2 linked regions of the Drosophila melanogaster genome follow. The protein of the gene in region 2 interacts with the protein of the main gene of each other region in a pairwise test. Each region holds a gene or a part of one and is shown on either strand. Other genes may lie near its edges.

Region 1 (6,712 bases), on a different chromosome or scaffold from region 2:
GCATTGAAATCCGTCATCGTGCACTCGCAATTAAGCCTAAAATATAGAAACAAAAAAAGCTTGGCGCCGCGTCAGTCTGGTCCGCAAGAAAAACAGTTAGAACCACCGCGTTTGTAGAGCTGCAAGTGCTGCAATCGAATATTACCACCCGGATAAATCGAAGTAAAACTTCTTTGCACTGGTCAGCTTTTGAGTTTTTACACCCGTTACTCGTAGTGTAAAATAGTATACAAAAGCATATTCTTGATCAGGATCAATAGCCAAGTCGAGCACCTTTGCCACACCCCTCCTTATAATTACAAAACGCTCAAAACACACTTATGAACAATTTTTAATTTTTTCTCATTTTATTTAGCAGTATCTATCATGATAAATTTTCGTGTTCGCATATCCACTAGCTGAGTAAGAGTATTTTCTAGTCGGGTAGTATTTGTCTAAGATCTATTCATTTTATTTAAAGTTTATTAAACATAAAATATTATTAGTGTTTTATTTGTGTGAATTCTTTTTCTTTGTTTATTTTCTTCTTTATTAAATTAAATCAAGTATTGACTTAAGTTTAATATGGGGCAATAACTTGTATGTATTTACTTAAATCGTTCAATGCGAACTTGTTTTGGTAAATCAGTTTTTCATAACAGTGCGCCACCTTGAAAACAGACCACAAACGCAGGCGTTAGGCGTTTCAGTATTCTTGAAAGTACAAGCAGCGTGCACACTGCACCACCAATCGCCGCCAACTTCACTGGCTTCTCTTCACTTTTTTAAAGAACGTGGAGCGAACATCACCGCATTGGAAACGATTAAAAAAATATATATAAAAATGTAAGTATTATAGATATGATAGGCGACCGGTGAGTGCAGCGATTATAACTGCAAATCGAGTTCTACTGGCTTGTTTGCAGAACTCAATGTTGCAAGATTAATTTGTGATGCGCAGGGAAATGCACTTCACCGATTGCAATTCAAATTGCAGTCACGTGGTCGAGATTCCATTGCAGTCTCAACAAATTAAAAATTAAAAAAGAACGTTAGCTAAACGATGCGTTTGCTTATATTGCAGGTGAATCTGTGATTACTAGGCGCTGCGTTAAAGCGCTGGCATTTGTGAATTGGTAAGTTTCATCATTGTATTTATTTATATTTTTGTTAAATAATATTAATATTTTCATGCGAGCATGAGTCGCTGGTGTAAAGAAACTACTACTTTAGCTAGTGCTTTTTACTTGCTCGCAGAAAAACGTGCTTTGCCCAAGCATAACCCAAATTTAAAAAACCCGAGTTTGCGGTGCATATTATTTTCGTGAAGCTGACAGTTTAAACCCTCTTAACTAGCTAAGTTTAGTATTTGCGAATATGGCTAACCCAGCATTCCATTTTCAGAAACAAAATGGCCTCTTATGCTCAACACGTGTTTTCTGGCAGAGTTGGAGAGAGACAGACGGTAAGAATTCGTTCCAAATCCCAAATTAGCCCTTCTCAGTTATCTGATGATTTATAATTCTATTTTCTGACATCTCTTATGAACCGTTGTGATTCAAATCAGTTATAACTAATTCTGACACATTCGACTCTCAACTAAATATAATTTTTACTTGTGGCCGTGACTTATGAGAACTCATCTATTACTTGCAGATCGGTCTTTCGATTTGGATTCGGAATATAAATGAGGTTATCAGCGTGAAATGGTAATTATTCTCTTCATTTATGAAAACTACTTAAAATTTCGTGATGAATGACCCTATCATCATCTTTCGACTGAAAATCATTTTGATGCTATACTAGTTTTCACTGAATTTTAAACGCTTTAAAAAAACCTGTTAAAAAGATTGTTACATTTGAATAACACAAATATATTTTAATTTCAGTTCATTGCAACGTCAATATCATGTATCAAACGTGGCTCACTAACACAGTGAAAAAGGTAATAATTCGGTTTAAGATAATAAAAAAATTTAGTTTAAATTTTATGTGTAAATTGGACAATTAATTGTGTTGTGATGAATGAAACTTACACCATCTTTCGACTGAAAAATGTTATGAAGCTATACGAGTTTTTACTGAAACCCCTTCATTTTATTATTTTTGTGTTTTATAAGTTTTTTAGAAAATCGGTTGCTGCTCTTTATAACCATTTAATTTTTGTCATTTTGCAGTGTTCAAGAAAACCACCTTTGATTGTCGCGTCATATGCCCAAACAAGGATCTCTCCTTTGAAAAGGTAAATTATACTCTAGAACGAAATAATATGTAAATGATGCTTTTAAAATTTCTGACATCTCTAATGAACCGTTGTGATTCAAATTTTTCTAATATAATTAACTGATCATTTTAAAATCGCTTAAACGATTGAGTTATATTTGAATAACTACTTATTTGTATTGTTTTTGATTTTTTTTTTTTTTTTACAGATGTGAAACATGCGTAGCAAAATGAATCCGTCAATGGTTCATTTATAAATTCCAATATCTAAAAAGGTTAGTACGAAAAGAGATTCTGTTTAGCGGAAATGAAGATTTCAATGATGATCACTTAAACCATTCACAGACACCATATAAAGGTCAAGCGCTGGCAATCTTCTTCAATATTCTTTTGGAGATAGAGCGTCTTGTTTGACTGGTTATGGGCCCTGGTTAAAAACTTGGCACTGAGCTTCATAATGCATTCTAGTATTAATGAAATTAGCCTGCGAAACCAAACTTATCGTTCCTGTTGTTATCTTTTCAGGTTGGCAACCTTGGATGAACACAATTTGTATCTTGTGGAATCACGAATAAATAAAATTCATATGTGTTCTTAAAAATCGTTTTTTACTAAGTTTGCTCGCTCCCGCAATGCTAGTTCCTGGTTCTGCTTGGCAATCATTCGCTCGCCCTTCGACTTCTTGCCTATGCCCAGCTTCGGCAATCCTCTATTTAGACCCTCGAGAAGGACGCACGCCTTGCACGGCTGCTGTGAGGAAACGAAGCCACATCGGGTGCATGTGCCACGCTCGGGCTTCTTTACCGTGTCCTTGAAGCGAAGCTGTTCGCCAGAGTAGATGATGTCCATTATAACCGATGGTCGCACTTTCTCCAAATCCTTGAGAAACGCTCGAGCGTGGCCGCGATACGCATTGGGGGCGAATACGCACTCCGTTGAGAAGTAGACCAGCTTTTTGTAGTGGGCGTACATCACGATTTCTTTCTCGTAGCTGTACTTGAGGGGCTTCACTCGGGGAATGGTATCCTCGCCCCCGCCGGTGCGGATGCTCGTGCAGCGTCGCAGGCGCGCCGTGTCCCCACGGAGCACGTTCATCAAGACAGTCTCCGCAATGTCATCTGCATTGTGGCCTGTGGCTATGCTATCAACGCCCAACAGCTTGGCCCCTCTATCCAAGGCCTGTCGGCGGAAGACGCCGCAAAATGTGCAGTTGTTAGAACGGCCGATCTGGGCAACAATGCGGTCCATGGTCCAGCCGTAGAGCTCCTCGTAGGACAGGATCTTTAGTGGCATCTGGTAGTCGTCACGGTTCTGTTTCACTGTCTCCAAACTGTCATCCCGATATCCAGTGATGCCTTCGTCTATGGAAAGGAGCACCAGTTCCAGACCGTAGTTATGGCGTTCGTTTAGCAGTTTTAATCTGTAGAACACTTGGATTAGAGAGGTGCGATGGGGGGAATGGTACGACATACACGTGCGCTAGGACCGTGGAGTCCTTGCCTCCACTGGCCGCTACGGCCACCTTCTCGCCACGTCGGAACAAGTTGCTGGAGGAGATTGTGTGATGGATCTCTGCCTCGAAGGCTGCGAAGAAGCACTCCTTGCACAGGGCATCGCCGGTTTTGGGTCGCTTTGGGCAAACAACATTATTAGGATTTATTAGGGGCTGTTTAACTTATGAACTACCTTCAAAGCAGCGCGATTTCCGCACTGCGACTTGCAGATAATGTGCATTTTTACTGACACTTAATTAGCACACAATTTAATTAACAGCTGTTGCACCTTATGCAGCAGTGACCAACACTGGCGTTATACAAAATCAAGTTACCCATCACTGTTTGTTTGGAATAGATGAAAAATAAATATAAATATTTACAATGAGCGCCGTAAAAGAGTCAAAAGCCTTGATCAAGGACATTCGGGAGACCATAAAGCTGGGCAAGCATGCGGAAGCCATACCCAAGTGCCAAGTGACGTCACCATAGAACATACCAGTTATGCATCATCCTAATGCCTTTATTGCAGCGCCTACTTAAATCGGAGCCTGAAAATGCTATGGGCTACTTGTTGCTTGGGGCAGCCTACCAGAATATCGACAAGGCGGAGGCGGCCAAAAACCTGAGGCAGTGCATCAAGTGCACGGATGGTCCGGCCCCTGCCGCGCTCCTCGGACTCGCCAACTGCGCGCCCAGCAACGAACTGCCTGAAATCTATGATCAGTTGGCTGACCTGCAACCGTAAGAATCTGCTCGTGACTCCCTGGTCATTATCCATACTCCATACTATCCATACTAGACTTTGTCATAAAAGGACTACTAAAGTGATCTTTACTTTACATTTTTAGAGAACAATCCTTGAACTATTGGGAAAAGCTTTTCAACTTGGCCTCTGACTCAAATGTGGCTCCTTTCTGCTTCACTGTACTTAAAAAGAGAGTGCAGGACACAGAGAATGGAAATTTTACGAAAATTCAGGAGTATCTGGGACGCATTTGGGTTTCAAACGACTTTGAAATTGCGCCCGAAGATACTCAGCTTGTAAGTTACCGTATAATTATTAATTTATTTATTAAAAATAATTTTGAAATATAAAGAATTATAATTGATATGAGCACTTTCATAGCTCAATTTCTTATTATAAATTAGTGCGTAATGACTAATTACACTTTTTTCAGTACAAAACGACTATGGAAGCTCTGCTGCAGAACTCTGAACCCAGTGCAAGGAGCGTGGTTTACAAGCGATACCTGAAGTGGCTTTACAAGAAGCAGGATTATGAGACTTGCGTGCGGCACGCCTGCAATATGACCGAGTCGCATCCCAAAGATGTCTATGGCTTCGAGTGGATATGCAAGACCTACTGCGAACACCACGAGCAATCCGAAATAGTTAGTTGGCAACAGGAGCTGAGGCATCCCATTCAGGTGTACGCTGAGCAGCTTCTGGAGCTTAATCCTAACTCTAACCTTGCTTTGTTGGTTAAAGCCCTGGATCTTTTCGCTGAGGGGCAGGTCGTCGCATCCAGGCAGTTGGCATTGCAGGCACAGAAAAGTCAACCTGCGTACAAAGTAACGCTGGAATTGCTGGCTCGTATCCACATGGAGCTGGGCGCATACAAGTTGGCCCTTCAGCTGTGGCAGGAAATTGGACAGGAAAACGACGCTTATGCTCTATGCTTATCGCACGAAAAAGGCGTTTCAAAACTAAGAGAAGCTGTCACGATTTTACAAACGCTTGAAAACTCCGAGGGCAATATTAAGTCTTTGGCTCGGTGAGCTTTTTATCAATAGTATTTGGTTTAATAAAATGCATAACAAGAGTTTATTTAATTTGCAGCTGCTACTTCAAGCTGGGCGAACTGCACTTGCTGAAAGATTTGCCCTTGGATGATCTGACCAAAGCAGAATTTGTTTTGTAAGTAGGAAATCCAAAAATTAAAGAAGTCAATCCACCTTTTCCATCTGCTATACTAGATCTCCATCTGAAGCTCTTCAAGAAATTGCTGACTGTAAGACTTTTGAGGCATACCTACTTTGTGGCAAGCTGCATATGGCGCTGAAAAACTATTCAGACGCTCTAAATTATGTGTTAAAGGCCACTCGACTGCGCCCACACTTTGCCGAGTGCTTTGACTATCTGGGCAAGCTGTACCCGCTGGCCACTGGGGACTTCTCACGAGCCCGCAAGTGCTACGAGAAGTGCATAAGCCTTAATCCCCTCGCTGAGGAAGCTGTGGATGCCTTGAGCTTTATCTACCAAGAACAGGGCGAGGAGGAACTGAACGAGACCCTGCTGCTGAACACATTGAGCCATTTGGGTAGCAATGAATCAATTCGATTGCAGTACAAGCTGGGTCTGCATTTCTCGCATGTGAAGAAGTGGGACAGTGTAAGCAATTGATTATCATTGATGAATCCGATTTAACACTTTTATTGCAGGCAATACAATGCTTTCGCATTGCCATTAAGAATGACTCCCGCTGCATTAGCTACTGGGAGTCATTGGGTGATGCTTATGCGGGACGCGGCTCGTACAACTCGGCTATTCGAGTCTTTCAAAAGATCCTTGAACTATCTCCGGAGAATAATTATGCCCTGCTTCAAATAGCTTCAGTGAAAACGGTGCCACATTCCAAAATTAACAAGAAAACATAAATAATTTTTACCCCATTTAATAGACAATACGCATGTACACTGAATCTATTGAAGATTACGATACGCTGCTACAACGTAATCCTACTTACCTGCCCGGACTTCGAGGTGCTGCTGAAGCGCATATTGGCATTGCGAATAGTTTGAAGAGCCAGAACTTGTACGGAAGATCCAAAGCGCATTTCCAATTGGCTCTGGAACACCTTCAAAGGTATTAGCTCAGCCAGCGATTTCGTGTATCTGTTGATAAGTTTTATCCATTCCTTACAGCGCCTTCCTTCAGCGTGAAGCTCAAGGAATGGTTTGGCTATGGCGCCTCTCAGCTAACATTTTCGTTCAGACAGCCCAGTTGCCGCATTC
Region 2 (10,674 bases):
CATCGCCTTGCTTTGGGCCAGAGTCCCTCGCCCGGTGGACGCACCCACCATCCCGCACACCGTTTGCGATCCAATGACTTCGGCCCGCTTGTTTGTTGTTTTTTTTTTTAGTGCCCATGTTTCACATTTCCCAAGGGCACTTCCCAACTGGCACCATTAGGAGGTGGAACTGCGACCGCGTTTGTGCTGTTCCGCCTGTAATTGCAGAACCCCACGTCCACCTCCTCATCCTCATCCACATACACATTCACATTCCCATGCCCATACCCATTCGTGAGCCGTGTGACATGTGTATGCTGCGCTGCATGTTGCATGTTCCCCAGGTGCGTGACGCTTGTACCTGCCACCAGGAGCAGCTACATCCCGTTCCGCCCCCATCGCTCCCGCTCCAGCACACGCCCCCGTGCTGTGCCAATTGAAATGGTTATTTAATTCGCCCGTTCGTCTGTTGTGCGGGGTTGTGGGGTGTGGATGGGGGCCAAAAGTATGCAGCGATATTGCACACAGCCGCTTTAAATTGCGCAGCCAAGTATGCTACGCATTTGCGTTTGCCTTTTGCCCGACATGGCATAGTGGCTCCTCCCTTTGCCATCCGAGATCCACGGCATGCCATTAGGGTCGGGGCCAAGCCAGCAGCTCACCCAGTGACGAACTGGATGGTGGCCGGGATTACTGGGGCAACCTGCCACATGACGCAATGGGCAAGCGAATTACCGAAATCGTGAAATATGTATTTACAACGCCGTTGCTAATGCGCCGTTTCACATAAACATAAAGAACGAGCTGCCAGTTTTTCTTTCGAAAGCCCATTTAATTGTCCGTGGCCCCCCAAGTAGCGCCAACAAATGTCTTTTTAATCACGTCCAACTGTTGTCCTGCCAACGCGTTTGATTTGAAGTTATGCGATGGCCGTGCGACTCTTAAGGATGCACGCTATCCGTATCCTGTCCACAGACAATGGCGCACACTCTGTCAATAACATGGGCCCACATTATGATTCTCATTTCCATTTTCAGTTTTCTGAGAACATGCGACACGCACAGGGATATGGATACGGATGTGGGTATGGGTATGGTGGTATGGAAATAAAGGGGTAACTAGGTGGAGATGGAAACCAGGACATTGTATGCCCACCTTTTACACAACTTGTTGTTTTGCGCGCTTTATGAGCTCTTCCCCGCAAGACAGGGCCAATAAAACGATCCACATGCGACGATAATCGTAAAAAATTATTTTAATGCCCCACCAACGAACCTAAATGCGCAGGAACCCAAGAGCCCAAGAACCTAGGAACCAAGGAAACTACGAATCCCGGTCGCCCCCAACTCACACGCGCCATAAATAGGGCCCTCAACTTATGTATTTGTAATTCCAACTAATTGAAGGCTACAGAAGATGGGGGAATTGGGACAGCTAAGCTAATATTAGGCGGTTACTTATAATGTCCGAGAACGCAGCTCCCTCCAGTGGGACAGGTCGTTAAATAAGCCAGGCGTTTAGGCATTTAGTGGTTGCCGTTTACCGGGAGGACTCCACTCACCTTGCGAGAACTGAAAGAGCTTGCAGAGGAACTCGCCAAAGATGAAGTTTCGCAGCAGGGTGCCCACCAGGGTGACGGGCATGCAGAGCACGCCCAGCAGCATGTCCGATATGGCCAGGTTGAGCAGGAACACGTTGGTTATGGTACGCATCCGGCGATTCTGCACCAGCGTCGAGATGACCAGCAGGTTGCCCAGCACGGCGAACAGCAGAATCATGCTATAGCTGGGTATCAGCCAGACGGGCATGCCAGTGGAAGTACTGGAGCTGGAAGCGGGTGTGGAACTGGGACTTGGACTTGAACTGGTGCCCAGGGAGAAGGCCAGTTCGGTGACCAGGTCACTGGGCTCGGTGTCCATATAGCCATCCCTATCATCATCGCCATAGCTGCTTGTCGCATTGCCCGCCAAGGAGACAGTGCCTCCGTTTCCAGTTCCATTGTAGGGTGCCACGTTGAGCGACACTATGTGACCCGCCGCACTTGGCGCATTGGCATAGTAGTCGAGCAGTGCCCTATAGGCAGCCGCTGCAGCCATGGCCGCCTGGTCGGCATCCCCCTCCTCGTAGTTGAACATCCCGGATGACCGGGTGATTCGTGGCAATCACTGGCCACCACCGCCTGACATGTCCCGTTGCGGGTCACCGAAAAAAATAAAATAAAATTTCACTCAATTGCTATTGAAACGGCGACGCTTGCGCGCAGGCTGGCAAAGATTGCGATATGGAACTCGGGGGTATCCGAGCACACGAGCTGGCGGCTTTGGCTGCCAGGAGAGGGCTCGCCTGCTACCGTTGCGGGTAACGCGTCGTGGGCAACTGACGACTGGCGGACGAGGACGACGCCTCCGCTCCGCTGGGCTAGCTGCCGCAACATGTTGCGTGGGCGATGCCGAATGGCGCAAACTCACCACGGCAACTTGTGGCTAGCAGCATGCTGCCAGGCAGCCCTGTTGCCGGGCAACTCCCATGTTGCGCGGAGGACGTTCCCTGCCGATTGGGACAAATTAATACGGTGCACTGCATCATCCATGGCGTCTGCAGCGGCGGAGCAGCTGCTGTTCGGCCCACGCACCGCGCTAATCATCAAATCAGCCGCATTCCTACGGCACTTGAGTGCCAGAGAATACAATCTCGGCTCGTTATGTGTTTGCACAAATGTTCTGCGCTAATTCCACGGATCGCATTCCCAGCCGACAAGCTGGCAGGGATCAGTGCTGATCTAGACATAGTTTTGGATATATAGCGATTCCGATTAGCACCTATAGCATCTATTTCAAAGACTACCTTTTCGCTTGCAATTGTTGCTCGTTTTTTCGGCGCAGGAAGTGAATGGAATAGCCCTCGATGAAGGAAAATAACATGACCGGGAGCTGCAGTGGTAAGACGTGACTCCACTGGGATACTGGATATGACTATGCCAGGAATCCGTGTTGCCGAAGAAACCCAATAAATCCAATAAATTCATGTTTTGATAGAATAGATAGAATTCACTTCTCGTAAGCCTCTTCACCATCGAGGAAGAGATCTTCTTCAAGGGATTCAGCTGATCCTTAAGGACGTACATAGTTTAGATGGAGGAGTACAGTCGTTGTTTTTCTATCCATCTGACTATACATATATTTGCGCACGATGTTATGGTTTCCTGTGGCCATTGCCAGTTAAGATGGCTAACACGAAGTATTTATGCAAACTTCATTATCATTATAGGAGCATCTAGCAGACTAAATTTTCTCGCGGTGTACGCATAAAACACTAGCCAACATCTGGCTTTTTTTGGTGTTTCCGAAATGCCTGCACTGAAAATGAAAATGAAAATAAAGCCAAATGCGGCGACATCGTCGCAGTTCGCCCGCTCTCGCTTGCTCCCCACGCAGCCGTCTCTGTCGCACCTGCTGTTTGTCTAACAGCTGCCGTGGGGCCTTCTGGCCAGTGCATCTCGCTCGCACGCACGGCGACTGCGCCGCCGACTTCGGCGGTCGACGGTCGGCACTTCATTCGGAGTTGCAGACGCCGGCAACGCCGCATTCGTGAGATACAACTCGTGGTGGTCGGACGAAGTTCAGCGGCTGCTCTAATATCTGGATATCTGGAACTGTGCTGGTTCTGTCCATCGCTCTTTGTGCGCTTGGATTGTGTTTTTTTGTTGTTTTTCTGGCGCTGTGTATTTTTGTTTTCGTTGTCATTGTGCCACTCTGCCACTCTGCCACTTTGTCACCTTGCAAACGGTCAACTCTTCCCGCCAGACCAGCACTCCGTTCCCCTTCGAGACTCACCCGCGATCCCAGGAAGCTGTTCCCAAGAGCACCAGCATCCCAGCTGCGCATTGAAAACCATATCTACATCCACATCCAGAACACAGCGCACCAGCATGTCGGACGGCATCGAGGTCGAGCAATTGGTGGAGAGCAAGCCGAGAAGGGTGAGTAGTGGGGAGTGGGTTGGGCACACATGGAGTTCGAGTTGGAGTTGGAGATGGATGGAGTCGGTAGTCCTGCTCCGGGCAGGGACCATGAAATGTGTGTGTATACCGGCAGGGGACGACCGAAAATTAAGAATTATAAAAGATTGGATGGGGCAGCCAGAAGTCCAGAGAGTCAGAGAGCAGGCCGGAGAGATATCTTATAAATGCACCGAAAGAAAACGGGTACTCAGTATGCTGATCACTTTTAAGGCTGAGCCAATCCGATGGCACAACCTTAAAATGGAAGAAAGTTCTAATCACCACTACATTATAAATACCTACAATTAAAGAATGCTAAAAAAAAATAATATTCTCTTGAGAATAATGATCGATTTTCGAACTTTAAATTGTTCAAATATATATTGAAAAATATTGGGGATTAGTAGAAATATACAATAATATAAAAATTCAATTACCAACAGTGGTATTGAACTCGGACATTGGCTTTAAGGATACAAAATACAGTTTTCTTCCGGTGTACACACTGGAGTTGCTGAAGCCCAGGCCCATGCGGCGTGTGTGTATATCGCTGGGCATGCGTGAGTGTCTGTAAATAACTCTGACATTGGCTCGCCGGCGACTCCGCTCCACAAGAACCGGCCCCAGAGGGCCAGAGGTCCAGGAGGCGGGGTGGCAGCTGGGTTTTATGGCTCTGGCTGGCTGGGCGGAAAGGGGCAGGGCAGGGCAGGAACAGGGACTGAGTACCGAGGGGCAATATCATCTTGGCTGGATGCGATTGCGGGGGCGGATGCAGATTGTGGGGGCGACTCCGAATCCGAATCCGAACCCAAAAACTGAATCCGAATGCGACGCCTTCGCAGCGATGCATATCAAGTTCAAGTGCGTTTGCAGTGCGGCTGCCGCTGCTGCACTTGCTCGCTGGGATCTCGAGACACCATCGATACCCAACGAAGACGCTGCGGTTAATGCGGCGCAGTCCGTCGCCCTGGCAAACACGTATAGCTTTCCAGATTACGGTATTTAGCGGGCACTGGGAGCTGGGTAAATGGTTGCAGTGCCATTATCTTGCGGGTACTTCGTTCAGCTGATCGCAAGATCTGCGTTTCATGTGACTTTTGGTGCACAGCACTTGTTCGCCAACCTAATCTCTATGGCATCAAACAAAACGATTGTGCAGGCCAATAAATATTACAATTTCGAGGTTTCCAAGTGCAGGCAAACAAGTGAGTAATAAAAGTGTATGGAATCGATGGGGATATCGGCCATTCCACACCCTTTCAATGCTCGGGAATCGCTTCCTGACGCGCCAATTTTGGTCATCCACTCCCCGAGTCGTCGTCGTCGTCGTCACCTTCAGGCGGCATGAATCACGCACTCGGAACCTCGTTTCCCGCAACCCGCAACCCGTACCCCATACCGATACCCCGTACCCATCAGAATGACCATCCACAACCCCATCCGGCATCCCAGATCCCCCGACTCCGGGCGTCTGGGGCGTGAGCAGCCACAAAACAGTTTGCTCCTTTGTTTCCTGCACTGTTTGTGCTAGTGTGCGTGGCGAATGAAACATCGACGGCAGCGGAATAAAAATAAGAAATAAAATGAAATGAAATAAAGTAAAGTAAAGTGGGGGAAAAAGAACATTGACATATCGGCGGTCCCAGACCCGGAGCAAGTACGTCATTGCGACTGCGCTGCGGCAACTGGCAATTTGTCACAACATTGCCAATTATTTTTTTTGCTTGTTTTATTTATTTTTTTTTTTTTTTTGGACTTAGTCTGGCCAAGGCGAAGCGGTTAATAACCGATTCGCTGCAATTTATTGGTTATTTTCCAATTGCCTTGCCAATGAGTCAGTTGCATCGACCCACGAATATTCCGCATATTGTGTTTTCACTGTGCATGTATGTCATATATATATCTGCATCGCCTCTCCTTTATTTTCCTTTATTCATGCCCGATCGTATTATTTGGAATTTTTTTCGTTTCTTATCTGAAATTCATTAGTCAACATAAAACACTTTCGGTCCACTTGTACATACACAATGAAAAAGCGAATAAAATACAAAATGTTTAGTGCAATCGAAAGTGAATACTCTAACTTTTATTGTTCATACTTCAGTATTTGCTTTATGAGCTCACGATCTATATATACCATACAATTAGATATATAAACTATACAAACAGAGTTAACTTGAAATAATGTCAGTGGTGTATACCAGGCATCGAATGATAAAAGATACGGATATAATACCATTCACTCTGTAGTTCTCGATAGCTTGCTGTTTACTTAAGGACAGGATTATTTACATACAATACGTTCTCATAGATGTTTATTTTAAAGGTATCCCAAGAATTTCTACAACTGCGATACCTTTCACAAGGGTATCAGCGTTGAGTTACGCAGCAAGTCAGTTTCAAGCACCTGGCGCTGGGGATTCGGTTTCGTTTTCGTTAGCAAATTGTTATTTGCTGTATTATGCTTGGTTACGTTTAGCTGCAGTTATAGCCGCGTTTGATGCATCGCCGGCCCGCTCATTGCCAGATATCGATGGATATAGCTATAGATACTATAGCTACATATATCTAGCTGGCAATGCAGCGTGCTGTATGAATGCACACATGGGCATATATGGCTCATTACGTACGAATCCACATATATAGATAGATATAATACATATGTACATCTATCTATCGGATATGGCCGCAAGCCATTTGAGTAGCGCGAATTGTTTGGCAGATGGCTTTCCTGCTGGAAAGGTGGCTAACTCAATGGATCTGTTAGGATTATTGGTGGTTCCAAGTGAAACTGAAAATATGTATGCATATACATTTCCTGTCATCGCTACAAGGTTACTTATCAGACTGTTGCTCACTGTTTTCCATCGAGAATCACGAATCACGATTAACCGTATCAATTATGGACTGGCTACTGTCGCTCGCTTTTCTATGCGAATCTTTCGAGGATGACGCACTCTGACTTTCCTTGAAACTATTGTAGTTTCCCTTTTTTCGATATATTTCCTGAAGCCAGCGCAATATCTCGATTCCTATGACTAAGCGTCAATCTCTGCTGAATTTTTATGGCGTGTAAAATTGGAACAGGCGAGCCCTACAGATTTAACCGGCACTAATTGCCCGGGCGATCCCAAGAACTTTCGGTAATAAATCAATTACAGTTCCTTTAGTTTTGCGACAGTTTTCTTATCAGAGCAAATAGATGGCATTGCGTCAATTCCGGAGGTGGGGCTATCCGAGCCTATCCTATCCGATCTTTGGGTGCACTCCCAGCCCAACTGGAGTGATCTAATTTGTCGTGTTGTCATTGTGTCAGAAGTGGAGATATGGCCATATAGGCATATATATGTATATAGATACATATGTGCGAACGTTATCGGGCTTATCGGCTGGAAACTTAATTTCAGCTAATTTTAGCCAACAATTTGGCTCACGTACCCGTGGAGGTTGCAGGAGGAGCACCGACATTTCTATATACATTTGTATCTGCTATCTTGCTTGTTTGGGGGAAAATTTGTCGGGTATTTTCGGTGGGTCATTCGCTGCAACGGTTTCTTAGTCGTCCGCTCATTTTTGGCACAGTTTGCGTCCGCATCTTGTTCATTTTTTTTTTTTTTTTGCCTGCCTTCCGACTAATTAATTCAGAGCCACGAAACGGGAGATTCAGAGCTGTTCCATAGTTCTATGCGACGCATAGAATACACATACAAACTCCAAGTTCTTACTGCGTCGCGTTGTGAAAGTCGTCGCCCGAAACATCTTTGGGTTTAATTGTTTGGCTTTTGATATTTTCGACAGTCGTCGCTTTTCTAATTGATTTTTCTCACCAGACGCCGTACTCTCCGGTCATTGAACGCATTATAGAGCGATCTCTATCTCCATCTTCCCATCGGTATCTGTATCTGTATCTGTATTTGTACCTTTAGCTGTATCTGTATCCGTATCTCTGGCCCAGCTTCAATGTCTATTTATACGCGAGTCTAGTTCCTGACTCCAAGCCCGATCCATTTGGCTGGCAGTTGGACCAACAGTCATTTGGCTCTCTTTGTTTGTTGTCATCCCGTTCCGACGACCCCAAGTCACTTATCAAATCTCTGACCTGCTTTCCGCCGGCTGCTGATTGAAAATTGTCACGCGTAAATTGATTTTAATGCGGCGATCCGCTTAAGACAATAAGAGTGCACTACGTGAAAGGGTAGTTTTCCGATCCGTACTACAAGTATACTCGTATCAAAAACCATCGATCCAATCGCTTTACACGCTTTCCACGCATCTAAGCTGAGCCTAACTTTGTGCACATAATGCTACCCCAAAGATCACTTAATAAACCACAATTAAAATTAATCTTTAGCTAACCAAAATCGTATTGAGACTTGGTTTTTTACATTTCACTATCAAGCCATTCGAACTTATCAAGCAATTTAAATTCATTTACATATCGATATTTTTAAATCATCATATTTTTGGGCTTTGAACCAGAACCCTGAACCCTCATATGTGTGTGCTGATATCATTATCAAAAATGCTGTAATTTAATATGCGGGTATGTTCCAGTATGTTATCATAATAAAGCCTTTATTTTTTCTTCGAAATATGTACATATTTACATTGGCTACTTTTCCGCTGGCCCGCTGGTATTATGTTTATAAAGCACTAAAGCGGCAACAAATTGCTTTCCGTGAATCTGCCCGAACGTAATGCAAGTGGGCGATGCAATGGCGTGCCTATTCCCCTGGCCGACTTGAGGTTGCCTGACACGGAAACAAGTCGAATTGAATGTAATATAACCATCGAAAGCGAAAGCACCGCTTAAATCTGACTCATAGATGGCGCCGTCAAGAGTACTTGGCCCCGCATTGAGTACATACAATACATTTCGCTATCGATGGGCCAAAGCGGATGATCCATTCGCCTTGGCGAAACGATTCGGACTTGGAATACATGATTAAGATATATACTTCCGTCTGAAAGTTGCTTATAGTTCCCCTCTTCGCTTGCTTATAATCCTCTTCCCCCTTGCTCTTTCGCAGATGCCGCTGGCCACGTCGCTGGAGAAGGACTCGATTCGCGAGGCCTACGAGGATGTACGCTCCGATCTGACAGACACCGAGTGGGCGGTATTCAAGTTCGATGGCGCCCAGATTATTGTACATGCGCGCGGTCAGTGCTTTGAGGAATTCCGACAGCAGTTCGGCGACTCGGAGCGCGCCTTTGGCTACATACGCATCCAGATGGGTGACGAGATGTCCAAGCGCAAAAAGTTCATCTTCCTGACGTGGATCGGGCAGGAGGTGGGCGTCATCCAGAGGGCCAAGATGTCCACGGACAAGGCGCTGATCAAGGATGTCCTCAACGTGAGTAGCCAATAGCTAGAGATGCCAGAGCCCAGAGGCAGAAATAGATCCTCTCATCTCTAATCTCTTGCAGAATTTTGCCGTGGAACTTCAGGCGGGAGTGGAGGCCGAGCTGGACATTGAGCTCTTCCGTGAAGCACTGAACCGTGCCGGCGGCGCCAACTACGGAACGGGCATCCGGGATAACTAAGCGGCCTCCAAGTTACTTTACATATACATTTTTTTTTGCAACTCTTAACTGCTTACCAAACTGCTCCTTTCTCTTTAATTATTATGAATTAATTTTATGAAATTTAAAAACTGTACATTTTATGAAATATTATACAAGCAATTGTAACATTACTGGGTCCTCTTATTTATCGTATAATCATAATCCATAGTGTCATTCAAAAAAGGTAAAAGAAAAGTTTTCAATACCAAATTTCAAGAGCGGATGCAAAATCATTATCAATGCCATACATTTAATTGTGTATATAGTGGGACTGATGAATTACTTTGATGATAAGACAAAAATTTTAGCCACCTAATACTGAATACTGAAGTGGACAGATATGCCAGAATTTGCATTAGAAAATTCAAGTTTCTATAGTAAAGAAATGTTCTCGTTTAAACTAGTCTGGTTTTCTGAACATACGCTGGATGGATCGATTCGAATTTAATAAGCGCGAAATGAAAATGGACTACGTTGTTGAACTAAATACTACGGAGATGATGAAAATGATGAGAAAAATTATCTAGTTGCTTTAGTTCCCGGGCTCTGCCTCTCGCTTCCTAGCGGACCCTGAAGAGTACCGAGTGAAGTGCATCGATGTCCACCTCCACGCCAGACGAGTTTGTGGTCACGGTGCGAGAGCTACGGCCGAGAACGTTGAACAATACTGCTTGGTATCTTTAAAGCATATCACTCACCTGGCTTTGTGCACCGAGCGACGGGAGGAGTGCGGATTAACCAGCACACAGTGCATGGGCTGGTCATCGAACTGACGATGGTGATAGGTATCTACGGCCTTCTCGGCATGTTCCAGTGACTTGTAAATAACTTCGGCGGTGCCGGGACGCACCACACGAGCGTCGTACACTGGGCCGATGTCGCTAAAAAGCTCGCGAATATCCGCAGTAGTCACGTTAGTATGCAGATTGCTCACCAGCAGGCGGTATCCATCCTTTGTGTTCGACGTACGCAGCGACAATGGGGATGGCGAACGGCGCTTGTTCTTCGATGGAGCAGCTGCATCACCATCACTATCAGTACCGCTATCGCTATCCCTAGCACCACCGCCACCAACAGCCTTTCTCCGGTTCTCGTTGGCGTAGATGCCATGAGAAATGTGAGGATCCCTC

What was found.
Region 1: the proteins of CG6891 (region 2) and Ctu1 interact in a two-hybrid assay, tested with the Drosophila melanogaster proteins (one large-scale study listed by BioGRID).

The regions. Positions count from the first base shown.
Region 1 is NT_033778.4:9,094,515-9,101,226, forward strand, and holds Ctu1 (cytosolic thiouridylase subunit 1), read right to left. Parts: upstream 4,012-6,712; 5' UTR 3,937-4,011; coding exon 3,889-3,936; intron 3,833-3,888; coding exon 3,675-3,832; intron 3,623-3,674; coding exon 2,797-3,622; 3' UTR 2,417-2,796; downstream 1-2,416. Other genes in the region: Boot (bootlegger), read right to left, coding at 1-17; CG8777 (uncharacterized protein), read left to right, coding at 4,080-4,172, 4,228-4,439, 4,547-4,739, 4,877-5,472, 5,538-5,615, 5,675-6,089, 6,140-6,322, 6,379-6,563 and 1 more. UniProt on the Drosophila melanogaster protein: Plays a central role in 2-thiolation of mcm(5)S(2)U at tRNA wobble positions of tRNA(Lys), tRNA(Glu) and tRNA(Gln). Directly binds tRNAs and probably acts by catalyzing adenylation of tRNAs, an intermediate required for 2-thiolation.
Region 2 is NC_004354.4:18,771,672-18,782,345, forward strand, and holds CG6891 (uncharacterized protein), read left to right. Parts: upstream 1-3,556; 5' UTR 3,557-3,907; coding exon 3,908-3,958; intron 3,959-4,826; exon of another isoform or gene 4,827-5,184; intron 5,185-7,961; exon of another isoform or gene 7,962-8,174; intron 8,175-9,009; coding exon 9,010-9,333; intron 9,334-9,406; coding exon 9,407-9,523; 3' UTR 9,524-9,674; downstream 9,675-10,674. Other genes in the region: CCKLR-17D3 (Cholecystokinin-like receptor at 17D3), read right to left, coding at 1,541-2,114; CG18259 (uncharacterized protein), read right to left, coding at 10,105-10,186, 10,243-10,674.